Linked DNA regions of Notamacropus eugenii. The protein of the gene in region 1 purifies or fractionates together with the protein of each later gene. This does not show direct contact. Links are inferred from orthologs where the notes say so. Each region holds a gene or a part of one and is shown on either strand. Other genes may lie near its edges.

Region 1 (7,990 bases):
AAGTGAATGGTTTGCCTTCTGCCAAAGACAAAGATAGATAGAGATAGAGATATATGTATATGCAGAAGTGTATGTGGGTATATATACATATATATATAAGTATGTATATATAGATTGTAGCTAGCTATATAAATATCTATACATATATCAGTTTCAATATCTGAATCTATATTTTGTTCTGGTTGCATTCAATAATGACTCCAAATACATCAAAGTAACAGAGTCAGAAAGATATTCCGCAAGAGAAAAAAACACCCACACCACAATCATTTCTGTGTTTTATTCAAAACTGCTTTGTGGACAAGCCTTATTGCAGCTGATGAGATCTTCAGCAGTCTTGAATTCCCTGCCATTGTGGCTACTGCAGGAAGTATAATTCCCACTACATTTTAATATTTGGGGTGCCTTCACTAATAACCTTGGTCTGATGAATGCGGAGATATCTGGGATGCTGGTGGGACATTTCTCTACCCCCCACCCCTCTCTGGGAGCTCAATAAATGCCAATGCTCCTGGGTTTGTGCTGTAGATCTCTCTTTTACTCCTTTGTAGAGTTTGGGGCAGCTTCCCATTAAAGGAGATCAGGGGTAATTAGCAGCATTATTTTGACAAGTTGGGTCGAGCTGTTCCCTTTCTTACATCCCTGAGCAGGGGGAGAAGGGGAGGGGGTAAGTAGAGGAAAAGAGAGTGGGGGAGGGAGAAGGAGGTCAAGCCCAGTGTCTTGAGATTCTATGGCAGCTGAATACTTTCTTTTCTCAACCCTGAAACTTTTTAGAACCATTTGGTCTAATTTCTGTCTCTAGGCTCCACCTTTCAATTCCTTCAAGAGAACTTGTAAGGAAATACACAAACATTTATAAGGAGATAATATGGCATTGTTAAGGAGCAAGAAATGCAGCAAATAGTGGAACACTAGATTGTCAAGACTCCTGGGATCTGTTTGAGACATCTCAACGCCTAAACTCATTTTCTGTCCTTGGGCAACTCACTGGACGTTTGTATTTGTTTTATCGTCTACAAACCGAAATTATGCTATTACTATGCCCTGTGAAACTGACAGCAATATTGTAAGGAGTAGTGTGTTACGTCAAAAGTTCTTTGCATTTCTGAAAAGTAAATGCAATATAAAAAGCAAAGTATTACTATTGCATTTTATTAGGTTAGAGATGGTTGAAATTAAGCAAATGAAATTCATACTGAAAACTGTGAATTATAAGACAAATGCATTGGGCATACTTATTCATATGTTGTTTACATGGATGGCATTACACAAAAGGCAGCTTATGGTATCATACAAACACCACGTTATCAAGTATTGAAGTCCAAGGGTTACATTGAACATCCAAAGAGTAAGGAGGGAACAACATTCCAAAAGGTAACTGGAAGATCATTCGGGGGTTCATAACCATACTCTGTTCTGTTCCTCTATTTAGCTATATCTTGCTTTGCTCACTTCACTCTGTAATATTCAAACACAGAGGCCAGGCGTTTTGTTGTCCATGTCCTATTGAATTTGGATAATCAAATGTAGATTTCAGAACTGTGTTGTAGGACCATGGGAAGTTAAAGTGTTAGAACAGAGAAAGGGGGAATGAAACACAAGGAGGGATTCTTCAGTTCACAGAATTTAACTGAAGTCTTTGGACCACAAGGGAAGAAAAGTTAACCCATGTATTGAAATATGGTCTAAAAGGAATATGAAAGGAGGCAAATCAGATGTTTCTTCATCTATACTGAAAAGTTCTGCCAGTCCACAAGGTCTCAAGTGATCACGTGTTTGACAGATCTACAAGGGAAGCTAAGGAATAAAGGCTATTCTTCAAGGACTCTCACTGAGAGACACCTTAGCAGGCCCTGTTCATCCAAACCAGCTCCATATCAGGTCTGTGGGATCCTTGTGATTAGTTGAAGTTAACAAAACCTGGTGTCGAGCAGCAGTTACATGCACAGGGCATGCATATTAAAGCCAACAATGCTTACAAATGTAAATAAGGGCAGATTGATTAAGAACAACATTATCGCTGGGAATGTAGCACTCGCATGCATCAGCAATGAGGCAAATTGGGGGCAGCCTCAGCCCTGACCACCCATGTTGAGACAGGCTTTTACACTGGCACCTCTTCCTTTTTAAAAAACATTGCAGAAACCAGGCCAATTAGATCCCCAAAGTAATTCATCTCTTGTGTATGAAAAAAGCAGACCACAGGGGGAGAAGAGAAGGGAAGGGATGGGAGAGAGATTAAGATAGTGCTTGTTAAATCTGAGGTTCCAGATTGAGTTTGGGAACCAGTGAGAAGAATATACCAGCAGGGCATTGTCTAAGATCATGAAAAGTTAACCTATCAAACAGGAGGCAAAGAGGGGTGGTAGAAAGGCGTCATGTATTTTAAACTTCAGGCATCAATATTCAAAGTATTTCGAAATAAAGTAAGACTGAATGAAATTAACATGGAAGGATGACATCTTACTCTTGAAAGGATACCAGTGTAGAAGCAGAAGAATGTTTCTTCCATGTAAAAATGAACTAATATTCACTACCATATCTTCCTTGAGTGTGGTACTCTAAATATTAAACAACATTAAGAAACAATGAATATTAACTTAAATGATCAATGAGATAACATTCAGACAAAAATTTTGATACAAAAATTTTAAGAATTTGAAATGTGATTTATGATATAGTTGCTTTATCTTCAGCAGCTGAAGAAACATGCAAACCTCTACACTCTTATACGTATGTGGTAACATCTGATTGTCCTAACAATCTGTATTAGCTCTGTTACTTACCATTAGGACCTTGGGCAAGTCACAACCTCTCTGGGCATCTGTAAAACTAAGAGCTTTGAAGTATCTTCCAGCTCTAAATATATGGTCCTCTCCTATAAATGAGTCGAAATGAGAGATAGCCTCAACATTGACAGAAGTTATTGAAAATGTACACTGAGCACTTCTTAATATAACCTGAAATCTTGGCTGGCTCATACAGTATGTGACATCAATACAATTTGATGGTGCTTCTCAGATTTTAAAAGCAATTTTCACTATAAGATTAATTTTTCATATTACAGCTTTGTCATGTATTAATACAAAACTTCCTGCAATCCTGTTTAGTTCCAACACTATTCTGTCTTTTATTTACACTGTTTGATCATACTGGCTTTTTAAGAGGTCTTGTTGTAGATAATGCCTACATCTACAGTGAATTGCCACATACTAAAATGATGTCCCAGTTAAGACATTCAATTTTAAATTTCCCGGCTGCCTGGCTACTCTTCCTTTTATGATATGAAACCGCCCACGTACATCTGTGCCCCATCTCATCTTTGAGAGTGTCACTTTGTGAAAGCCCTTCTTATAAGTGAGGTTTCCTTCTACCTCTTCTGGGTCAGGACTATGACTGAGGAAGAAAGAAAAACTGGTTCCAAGAGTAAATTAGAGGAAGGAAAGGGGAGAAAAGGAAAGAAAGAAGGAAAGAAGGAAGGAAAGAAAGAAGGAAGGAAGGAAGGAAGGAAGGAAGGAAGGAAGGAAGGAAGGAAAGAAGGAAGGAAGGAAGGAAGGAAGGAAGGAAGGAAGGAAGGAAGAAATGGGGTCTAGGAAGAGGATGGGGGAAAAGATGAAAGGCAAAGGAAAGAAAGGAGGGATAGGGAGAGAGAGGGAGAGAGAGGAGAGAGAGAGAGAGAGAGAGACGTCAACAAGCAGTTTTTAAACCTATGTGCTCAGCACTGTACAAAGCGCTGGAAATACAAAGAAATGCAAGAAAACGAGTTAGGGAAAGATGAAAAAGAGAAAGCTATGCATCAGTAAGGAGGAAGAGAAAGAAAAGAGGGAAGGAGTGGCACTGAGACATCCTAGGAACTGAAGGAAGGCGCCGGATTCTTTCTGCCAGAGCCGCGTGCGCTGGAATCAGCGGGCTTGTCTCTCCACCGGCCGGCAGCCCGTGACATCTTCCAAGACTTGGGGCAGAATTGAATGGAAATGTTTCCTTTCTTTGCTGCTATTGGCCGGTAGTAGTCAAGCCTCGTTGGTATTGGGTAACGTAAAGGGGGAAGAGACCTCCTTTAGGAATGTACTATGGCTTGTCTGGCATGCCTTTCGGCACCGGCAGCGGCGCATAACTGGGGTGGGAGGGGCAGCCTTCCCCTTTTTCCTCCGGCTTCTTAACGACACGAACTCCTTGGAGCGGGGAGGGAAAAGGAAGGAGGAAGGAAAAGAGTAATGAAAATCCCGATGGACGTGCCCCGACTGGGTGAATCCCAAAGCCGGGCAGGCAGCGAGGGTACTCTCCCTTTCCGCTCCTGCCTTGTCACTTGCCTGTCCAGCGGCGTGAGTTCCCTCCACCCCCAGCCCCCCGCCTCCTCACGCTTGGACACGCACGCACGCACGCACCCCCAGGCAGGGGAGCTGGTAGATCTGCAGCAGCTCCAGAGGACTGGGGCTCAGCTCCCGGCTCGTTGGTCACGTGGCCTCGCCCAGACTCCACCTCCCCGCTGCCTCGCCCCCTCCCCCTCTTCATCCCCGCCCCTCCTACTTTCCCTCCATCTGGGGTTCTTTCTTTTCTCTCCTTTCCTTTCTTTCTTCTTTTTTTTCAATGAACACACACCGAGTGCACCTTAAAGCAACACTCCCCTATTTCGCTGCCTCCATCAGCACAACATCCCGCTAGTTTCCTCGCAATGCAGTCGAGTTTAAAAAAAAAGAAGCTAGTGCCCTGATCGCCACTGCGGGGAGAAATTTCATAACTTGCAAAGCTAAGGGGGAAAACAAAAACAAACACCAAAAATCCCACCCACGTTCTTAAAAAAAAAAAAAAGCGGTCGAGCCAGCCTAGTTTCTGAGACATTTTGCAAGGCAAGCCCCTACTGCTGGCAAATTAACCATGTACGCTTCCAAAAGGGGCTATTTATCCCAATGGGAAAGTAAAGCCTAGGATGTCTTCGTGACCTTAGCTAAAGCGTCGGGATGGGTACTTACAGTCAGTGCACAATTTGTTTCGAATGAATTCAACATCAAAGCCTTTATTCCTCCCTACGTCACGCTATTACTAAATATATAGAGGATGCGTACCGCTTTTTAAAAAGTCAGTTCGCAACTGACTTTAAATAAATATGTACGCGTACTAAAAGGGGGTCAGAATGAAGCAAACTGAGTGGCAGTAACTTTTTTTCTTTTGAAGGAAATAAGACAATTCAATTTTGCCAAAATTTCAAATGACTCTCTTTTTAAACTATGCGATCATTTAGATTCAAATAAAAACAGCCCCCCCCCCCCAACTCCCATATACAATTGCTGCGGGTGTCTGGATGCTATAGTATAAATCACTAATTTCTTCCTTGAATATAGTAAGTGTTTAGGGGGAGGGGGCTGGTGTAGGCAGGGGATTTGGAGGCGGTTGTTGTTTTTTAAGGTTCTTGTGTTGTATTATTTAACTTTCCGTTTTGTTTATCTTTAATGTATGGCGTATTTCTCTTGCGAGAGACCGTCTTCCTTTTAGTTATAAAAGAAAGCGGCGGGGGGGGGGGGGGGGGGGTGGAATTGGCACGCACTACCTCGGTATCCACCACCCTGTCATTATTGGTTCAAGCCTGGGAATTCAAGTCGGACCTCCCAGTATTTGCTACAGCTTGAGGCCAAGGTGCCTCTGAATAGATTTTCTTTTTAGGAGTTTCTGAAATTCTTTAAGCGCTTTAAAAAATATTACTTTTTTTGTACATCGCGAGGTGTGTGTGTGTGTGTGTGTGTGTGTGTGTGTGTGTATGTGTGTGTGTGTGCGTGCAAAAAAAAGCGTCTCATAAAAAGAAGACACTTTTCAAAAGAAAAGGAAGGGGGGAGCATTCCTTAATGGAAGTATTGCATGCAAGAAGGTTGGAGCTCTTTAAGGCTCCCCTTGAAGCTGGGGATGCACACACTAGGGTTGCCTGCCTGGGTGGTCTCTCTACTTTGGTGAGCTGTTGCTAAGCAGCTAATAATAGTCATGTTTGCTGAGTAATTTCTGCCCTCCTTGAGCCAATCACATCGCAGAAATCCTAGCCATCTGACAGCCCCAGGGGCGGGAGCTCCAGCCTTTTTCTCTCTCGCTGGCTCTCTCCCCCTCCACCCCCTCCCCTCCTCCTCCTCTTTCTCCAAATGGAGAGAGTTCTTTTTTTTCTTCTTCCATCTCATCTATTGAATCAAGGAGCTGCTGCTGCTTGCTGCACACACGCAGACTGGAGTCCCAAAGTCCCGGGAGTCAGAGACCAGCGCTGCACTGAAACAGAATGGTACAGCGAGTCGGCAAGGAGCAGAAGCCAGAGCCAGAGTCGAAGGAGCAATCCCAGCAGCAGCCTCCGCCTCCAGCAGCAGCACCAGCGAGAGCAGGAGCAGCAACTCCCCAGCAGCACTGAGAAGAGCAAAGGAAGCTCGGATTCTGCCGTGGCTTTTTGCTTTCTTCCCGGAGAACCAACTCAAGAAAAGGAGCCGAGGGAGAAAGCCCCGGTGGCGGGATCTCTGGGGGTTTCCTCACATTTTCCCAAGTAAAAGGGTCTGGAAAAGGGGGCAAACAAGGAGCGAAGGAAGCGGCGGTGGGGATTGTTTGGTGGTGGTGAAGGAGACACCGGGGGGAGGGGGGGGCAAGCAGGAAAGAGAGAGGCTCGCCCCCCGTGCGCGCACACACACATACGGATCCCTCTCACCCTCTTCGCGAACTGGATGTGGGAAGCGGCCGCAGCAGAGACCTCCGGATCACCACGAAATGTTGCAATGGAAGGCACAGGTCCTGACTCTTCTCCAACAGCAGCAGCGGCAGCAGCAGCAGCAGCCCCCGCGGTATGAGGAGGTCTGTCAGCAGCAGCAGCGACCACAGCAAAAGCCGGAGCCACCCGCAGAAAGAAGCGTCCTCCGGAGCCTACTCCCCGGCATCACCAGCCAGCTCCAGCAGCGCGCCGTGGTGGTGGTGGTGGTGGGGGAACCGAGACAAGCCAGCCCGCCTGATGCGGGAGCAGCAGGGGCAGCTCAGTCACCGCGGCGGCGGCGGCGGCAACATGGCCTCAGCTGTTAACATTGCGGAGCCTGAGAGCGGCGGCGGCGGCGGCAGCGGAGGCTGCGGCAGAGACCCCAGTCTGCCTGGGGGAAACGGCAGCAGGAGGCGGAGAAGGACCGGGGGGAGCCGACGTGCCGGGGCACCAGACCTGGAGTATCTGCAGCGGCCGAGCTACTGCGATGCGGCTTTCGCGTTGGAGCAGATTTCAAAGGTGCATTTCTGTATTTCTTTTCCCTCCTTCTGGACTTCCCTCGCATCCCTTTCCATCTTCTCCTTTTTCTCTTTGGAAGCACCCGTACGAATACACACACTCCCCTCTTTTGGATAAAGAAATAGACTAGGGGAAATGAAAAACCCAAACACACCCACCAGCTTTGGAAGGAAAGGGATGTCTAACTAATGCAGGGGGTGGAAGTGTGTGTGTGTGTGTGTGTGTGTGTGTGTGTGTGTGACTGTGTAACGTGCTCTCCCTGTCTAGTGTACACTTTCTGGGTCATTCGAATTATTCTCCCATTAAACCAATCCAGAAAAAGACTTAAGGTTGGTACTGGCTCTCTCTCCCTCTATCCTTTCTCTAGGTTGGCTTTTCTCTCTCTCTCCTCTAATGCTGCCACATTTCTTAACATATTTTGGGGGTGGGGGTGGAGGGAGGCGGGGAGAGGAAGGAGGAGGGGGTAGAAATAAAGGTGGTTTCCTTTTTTGGCAGCCCGTTTTGCTTTTGTTAAGCTTTGAGTAAGCGTGAAATCTCAAATCCTTTAAAAATCGCCTTTGAGGAGAAGATATTTTCCCTTCTCTTCTTTTTGACCGGTTTACCCTGACCTCCAACTCGTAGGAAAAGTGAAAGTTGTAAACAAATTGCCACCTTAAATCTGCGGTGCAGGTCTGACTGAGTCGCCGGGTTCATTGTGTTCGTTACTCTTACTGAAATGTGTGGAATCCAGGAATTCCGTGTAAACATATTGTAGCAGAGAGAATC
Region 2 (7,408 bases), on another chromosome or scaffold:
AAATTCCCAATGGTTTTCTAAGGCAAAATGCCTGCCACACTCAGAGAAAAAACTATGGAATTCATTCGCAGAATGTAGCAGATCATGTTTGTGTGTGTGTGTGTGTGTGTGTATTATGTTTTGATTTGTTATATGATTTCTTCCATTTATTTTAGTTCGTCTACATAGCATGACTATCGTGAAAACATATTCAATAGGAAAGTATATGTAGATCCTATATAGAATTGTATGCTGTCTTGGGGAGGGAGAGGGGAGGAGGGGGGTAGGTGTGGAGGGGTTAAAATCTAAGTTTTATGGTAGTGATTGTAGAACACTAAAAAATAAAATAAAATTTTAAAAAATGCTGAGAAAAATAACTCCTTAAAAATCAGAATTGGTCAAATGAAATAAAAGAAGTATAAAACATCACTGAAGAAAATAACTCCTTAAAAACAAAATCAATCAAGTGGCAGTTAATGACTCCACAAGATATCCAGAAAGAATAAAACAAAATCAAAAGATTAAAAAAAAGGAGAAAAGTGTGAGATATCTCATTGGAAAAACAGCTGATTTAGAAAATAGACTGAGGAGAGATTACTTAGGAAGTATTGGATCCCATATGAAGCCCATGATCCACAGAGAGAAAGAGAGAGAGAGAGAGAGAGAGAGAGAGAGAGAGAGAGAGAGAGAGAGCCTAGACATCATATCTGAAGGAGTTATAAAGGGAAACTGTTCAGATATCACAAAGGGCAAAATAGAAATTGAAGAATTCACTGTTAACCTCTTGAAAAAAATCCCAAAATGAAAAGTCAGGAATGTTATAGCCAAATTCAAAGACTCCCAGTTCAAAGAGAAAATACCGAAAGCAGCCAGAAAGAAACAATTCAAATATCACAAAGCCACAGTCAGGCTCACACAAGATTTAGCAGCTTCCATGTTAAAGAAGTGGAGTATAATATTGGAATATATATAATATTGGAATATAATATTCCAGAGGACAAAGGAGCTAGAACTGTAACCAAGATTAACACAATCTTTCAGAGTTTGAAAAAAGGGATATTTAATGAAATAGAGTACCTTCAAGCATTCCTAATAAAAAGGCAAGACCTGAACAGAAAATCTGACATTCAAACAGAAGACTCAGGAGAAGTATAAAAAGGTAAAGATGAGTGAAAAATCACAAGGGACTTAACAAGGTTGAACTGTTTACATTCGTATATGGGAGAGTGACATATGTAACCTCTAAGAAGTTCATCATGAGTAGGGCAGTTAGGAGTCTACTTTGACAGAGGGTATAAATGTGAGTCTACTCTTCAAAAGAAGAATAGAAAGGTGAGAAAGAGGGATGAACTGGGAGAAAGGGGGAGGGAGGAGAATGGAGAAATGATCTCACATAAAAGAGGAATACAAGAAAGAGTTTTTACAATGGAGGGGAAAATGGGAGTGGGGGAATGGACTGTGGTTGAATGTCATTCTCATCTGATCTAGTTCAAAGAGAGGGAGCGAGGAAAGGATTGGGGAGAGAGATGTGTGTGTGTGTGTGTGTGTGTGTGTGTATGTGTGTATATACACACATACATACACACACACATATACATATGTTTATTTTTATACACTCACAGTTGGGCATAGAAATTCATTTTACCAACAAGGAAGTATGAGTGGATGGGGCTAAGAGAAATGGGGGGGGGGGTAAGAAGAAAGAGGATAGGATTAAGATAGGCAGTGACTTCAAACAAAACAGACTTTTAATGAGGGGGGAGGGGAAAAAGAGAATAAAAAGAAGAAAATAGGATGGAGTGAAATATACAGTTAGCAATTATAACTGTGAATGTGAATAGGATGAGTTCACTCATTAAATGGAAGAGAATGGATTAGAAACCAGAATCCAACAATATGTTTGTTGTTAACAAAAAACACACTTGAAACAGAAAGACTTACACAGATTTAAAATTAGAAGCTACAGCAGAATTTTACTATGCTTTGGTTGAATAAAAAAAGGCAACGTTAACAATCATGATCTAAGAAAAAGCAAAAGTAGATAATTAGAGAATCTAAATCTATCCCATATATATTAATAATATATAATAGACAATATCTAATAATCTAATTAAATAGATCTAAAGAGATAATCAAAGATATTGTATTTTGCTAAAAGTTACCATAGACAGTGAATTATAATAATACTGAACACAGAGGCACTAAATAGCAAAGAATCCAATTTTTTTCTTAATTTTTGGTTTGGTTTTTGAAGGATCCAAATTTTTGAAGGAAAAGTTAAATAAGTTACAGGAGAAAACAGTAAAACTATACTAATGGGAGGCCTTTTTGTATCCCTGGTACTTAGCATGCCTGCTTGTTGATGAGCTGATGAATGGATCCCGAGTATTTTTATTACCAAATTCAAACTCCTGTTTGATATTTAAAACCCCTCACAGACTCATTTTAACCTACCTTTCCATACTCTTAATCTGGACAAATACGTTGTCTTTCTATTTTTCATGAAGGACATTCTCTCTCCTGCCTGTTCCTTTCTATGGGCTGACTTCCATGCCTGGAATGTTCTTCCTCCTCTCGACTCTTTCACAGAATCTCAAGTTTTCTTCAAAGTTCAGTTCAAGCAAGACCTTTTACATCAAGCCTACCTGGATCCAGCCACCACCCCTCCCCACCCCCAACCCCACCTCCAGCTGAGAAAATCTACTTCCTAGTTATTTTGTATCATCTTTCCTGATCTAATAGAAGCTCCCTGAGGGGAGAGAGTCTTTATTTCTGCCTTTGTATTCCTGGTGTCTCGTAATAGTTGAATGAACAAGTATTTAAGTTTCTCCCACCCTGGACTAGGTCCCAGGATGCAAAACTAGCAAATGAAACATCCTGGGTTCTCAAAGGGCAAGGGCTTACATTCTAGTTTACTGATGGCTGGTTGTCTTGAAGGCCTGTCTTGGGGAGGAAGGAGTATGCTTGTTCTCCTTGGCTCCTGGAGGCAGAAGCAGGACTCATAAGTGGAAGTGGAGAAGTCAGATTTAGGCTTGATGTCAGGGAAAGGGAAAAGAAGGGAATAGGCATGTATTAAGCACCTCCTATGTACCAGGCACTGGGCTAAATATGTCATTCTGTCCTCCCAACAATCCTTCAAGGCAGGTGAGGCCCATTTTACAGGATGCATTGTCAGGATCGTTGTGTGGTGGTGACTCTGGAAGGTGTTAGCTTAAGATAACCTCCCCGTGAGCTCTCCGAGGTCTGACAGGCTGAAAAAGGCCGGCGGTGGCTCCCTCGGGGGTCCTCAGTCCATTATGACTATTTCCGGTTTATCCCGTCCGAGTCTGGTTTATACTTGGTTATCCGTCTCCCCTCCCCAATGAGCTTCGGTCTTCTGCCTTTCTGTGAATCCCCCAGTGCTTAGCCTAGTGCCTGGCACACAGTAGGTGATTGATTGGGGGCAGAGGGTGCCAAGATGCCCAGGTTTTTAGACTGCCTCTAAACACTCATCAGCGGTTGTCCGGCAGGGTGACTAAGGACAGGGATACCGGCCCCCCCTTGTCCCCTCAGTCCCTCTGTGCAGCGTGCTGGCCTGTGCGGGCGGCCCGCCCTCCCTAAGAGGACGGAGGCTCATCGAGGCCAGGCTACCCTCCTCCTCCAAGTATTTCCCATTCCTAGCACAGAGGGACTTGAGTTCAGGTTTGTGGGACTGAAACGGGCAGGTCTGGGGCCAGGGAGGTGGGGGGAGCCAGTGGGCCTGGAGCCCCAGGGCACGGCATGGAGGGCCAGGGCAAGATGGGGGGTTCCTGGGCCAGGGAGGCAGTCGGGGTGGGGAGGGGAGGCCGTCCATTGCCAAGGAACGTCTAAGAAGCGCCTACTATGTGCCAGGCAGGGCTAAGTTCCAGTGACAAGGCTCAGACAGCCAGGGCCAAGGTCTCGGAGATTCGAAGTCAGAATGGGGGGAGTCATGGGGGGCAGGGGGTACAAGCTGACTGACCCGGTTAGGGGCAGGTGGACACTGGGTAGTGCGGCCCTAGGGGGAGGTGTCGAGGTGCGGGAGGAGTGGGGGGAGGGTTCCCTGGGAGGGGGCGGGGTCTGGTGGGCAGCCCCTGGCAGGTGGGGGTCATATCTGCACAAGGAGGCACTCTGACGACACCCCTCCACCCCGGGCATCATTGGACGAGCCTACGTGGGCGGGGCCGGGGCGCGGAAGAAGAGGCGTTCTGGGGGCGGGGTTTACCCTAAGAGGGGACTGGGGGGAGGGATCGAGGCACTGTAGGGGGCGCTGTGGGGGGCGGAGGGCTGGGGGCGGGGCTTAGTCTGCAGCGGGCGATGCGAGTCAGACCTATCTCTTTAGGTAGGGGGCGCAGCTCTGGCTCTGCGCGCCCCCGCCCCTCCACAGCCGCCCCAGGGCGGACGCCGCGGACCCCGCCGGCAGGGGGCGCGGCGGCGCCCAGCGGGGGGCCGCGGCGGCGCACGACCTCGGCCGGCAGGGGGCGCAGCTCCTCGTCGGTGCGCTCCTTGTACTTGGCGCGGATCGGGGCCCCCCCCCAGTCGCCGCCCCCCCTCGCCCCGTGGCTGCTGCGGCGGCCGGGCCTGACGGGCGGGTGGTGCTCGGCTGCGCAGGCGGGGCCGGGGGCCGGAGCCGGAGCGGGGCAGGGGCCGGGGCCGCGGCGGGGCCGGAGCGGGAGCCGGAGGAGGCGGAGCAGCGGGCGCGGGCGTCATGGGGCGGCGCCGCCGCGTGTAGGCCGGGGCCGGGGCCGGGGCCGAGGCCGGGGCCGGGGAGGCCGGGCCGGGCCGCGGCGGGCGGAGGGCCTCGCCGTGCGGGGCGTGGAGGTCCAGGAGCGCCAGGGCAGCGGCGGCCAAGGCGGCCAGGGCGGCGAAGGGGGCTACAAGATGGCGGACCTGGAGGCCGTGCTGGCCGACGTGAGCTACCTGATGGCCATGGAGAAGAGCAAGGCCACGCCGGCGGCGCGGGCCAGCAAGAAGATCCTGCTGCCCGAGCCCAGGTGAGAGGCCCCGAAGCCCCCCCGGAAACCGACCCCGAGCCCCCCACCCCGAAACTGACCCTGAAACCCACCCTGAAACTGACCCTGAAATCTACCCTGAAACTGACCCTCAAACCCACCCTGAAACTGACCCTGAAATCTACCCTGAAACTGACCCTGAAACCCACCCTGAAACTGACCCTGAAACCCACCCTGAAACTGACCCTGAAATCTACCCTGAAACTGACCCTCAAACCCACCCTGAAACTGACCCTGAAACCCACCCTGAAACTGACCCTCAAACCCACCCTGAAACTGACCCTGAAACCCACCCTGAAACTGACCCTGAAACCCACCCTGAAACTGACCCTGAAATCTACCCTGAAACTGACCCTCAAACCCACCCTGAAACCGACTCCGAAACTGACCCTGCCAGAAAATGACCCTGAAACTTCCCCAGCCTGAAACTGAACCTAAACTTGGTCCCAGCCCCTAAGCTTAAGACTAACCCTGACACTAAACGTGGGACAGCCCTCAGAGCTCCCCCTCTCCTTCCATCCCTGACTGTCACCCTGGGCACCCCAGTGGCCTCGGCCGGACACTTGTCTCCTCCTGCTCTCCAGCAGTCCTTTCTTCTTCATGCCTGCCATCCCTCCCACCCCTCCTCCCCATACTGTCCATTCTGCGCTGCCCACAGGGTATCCCCAACTCATGCCGGCTCTGAGGCCTCATCTTTACTCCTCACACCTCCCCCGTGTCCATTTCAAACTTCTCATTGCCTAGCAACCCTTACCAATTTTCAGGCCCTTATTTCATCCCATAGACTCACCTAACCCCCCACCTGCCCCTCCAATCTTCTCCTTTCCTCTCATCCTCTCCCTCTCACCTCCAACACCCCACCCCCATGCTTACTCTGTCTGCTTATCACCTTTTTTCTCTTCTACTACGACTGTGATTTCTCCTCCTTAGACCCCTCTCTGTAACATACTCTCTCCCCTTTTACTATCAGTAATAAGTTCTTACTCTGGTTTGGCACTGAGATAAACGTTAGCGATACAAAGACAAAAGATAAAACCAGTTCCTGCCTTCAGGGAGTTTCCATTCTCATCTGGAGACAGTTTTCTGTTGGCCTGGCCCTGAACCTGTCCAGTTTCCCCCTGTCTTCCTATGCTTCTCCTACCCTCCTCAAAAATACCACTCACATCTTTGACTAGGACTTTCTCCTAATTCCTGCCTCTCCCTTCCCCACTAACCTTTGGCCAGAGATGGAATTTCAGCCAGTACTTTTGCTGAGGGATGACATTAAGGGGAGAAGACACATGTTTAGTGGCCTCTCTAGGGTACTTTCCACCTTGGAAGTTGATTTTGAGGATTTTGAGTCTGTCTTTCAACCAGAGGTGAAAGCCAAGGGGAATCTGTAGGGGATGGGATATGGCCAATGGTAAACAGCATTGTCGTCTCCCTCAGCCCCCAGACAGCTGGAGGGAGAGCCCCTTCCACTTGGGTGCCAGCAGGGAGTGTATAAATGCATAGCGTGGACCCAGATGCCATCTGTTCGTTACACTTGGGAGAAACACCCATGACGTCAGGCCTTCCCATATTCCTCCTCTGGCCTGGCTCCCCTGAGGTACCTAGAAGGGCCTGAGGTCTGCCTTGCCCTCCCTCCTGGACCATGTTTACAGTGGGACAGCTATGGCCTGATAATTCCATGTAGCAGCTGGGACACGGGTTACCCAAGGGGTGGCAGGTCCTTTCTGTCGTTTGTAAACTGAGAGCTTGGCCTGGTGCTTTGAGAGCCCATCCCAGATAATGGGGTGCCAGGGCCAGCAGGTTCCCTGGAGGGGGACAGCCTGCATGCACATGGAGTGTGTCTGGGTCAGGATTCCGAGGCATGAGCTCACTCTGGGTGTGACTATGTTTTCCTGGACCCTTGAGCGGGCTGGCTGGGTCAAAGTGAGAGTTGTGGGTGCCAGAGTCGGCCAGTGCTGAGCAGTGAGCCCCCCAGGCTGGCCCGTGGTACCCGCTCTCCTTTGCTCTCAGGGCATCTCCAGTCACTGGGTTTCAGATTGACTGAGTGTGGGGGACAGGAGAGGGGAATTTGCCTGCTGCTCATAAAGGCCCTTCCTTGGGGGCCCCTTTCTTTTCTGACTCTGGTGATCAGATTTCTGAAAACAGGAACTGGGGCTTACTGCGTGCGTGGTGCTACCCAGAGAGCACGGACAAGATGGGGCCCAGCAAGTTCAGAAATTGCCACGCTGGGGAAGGAGGAAGCTGGGGGAGCCCACAGCACTTGGAGTTCTTCGGGTGGGGACCCCAGAGGACCCAGAATGCACTAGGATCTGGCTGGATCCTGCTCAGGTGTAGGGAACCTGAGGGGCTGATCACTGCCTCTTCTCCTAGCTTCCCTTTTCTGGGACGGGAGTAAGCAAGGCCTCCTGCACTGTGGGAGAACCTGTGTG

Evidence for each region.
Region 2: the proteins of PTCH1 (region 1) and GRK2 purify together in Homo sapiens (affinity purification with western blotting; 3 studies listed by BioGRID and IntAct, with this or other methods). This does not show direct contact. The link is inferred for Notamacropus eugenii from reciprocal best matches to the Homo sapiens genes PTCH1 and GRK2.

Annotation. Positions count from the first base shown.
Region 1 is NC_092874.1:328,558,038-328,566,027, forward strand, and holds the start of PTCH1 (protein patched homolog 1), read left to right. Parts: upstream 1-4,989; 5' UTR 4,990-6,802; coding exon 6,803-7,225; intron 7,226-7,990.
Region 2 is NC_092873.1:19,722,111-19,729,518, forward strand, and holds the start of GRK2 (beta-adrenergic receptor kinase 1), read left to right. Parts: upstream 1-4,278; 5' UTR 4,279-4,293; coding exon 4,294-4,970; intron 4,971-7,408. UniProt on the Homo sapiens protein: Specifically phosphorylates the agonist-occupied form of the beta-adrenergic and closely related receptors, probably inducing a desensitization of them. Key regulator of LPAR1 signaling.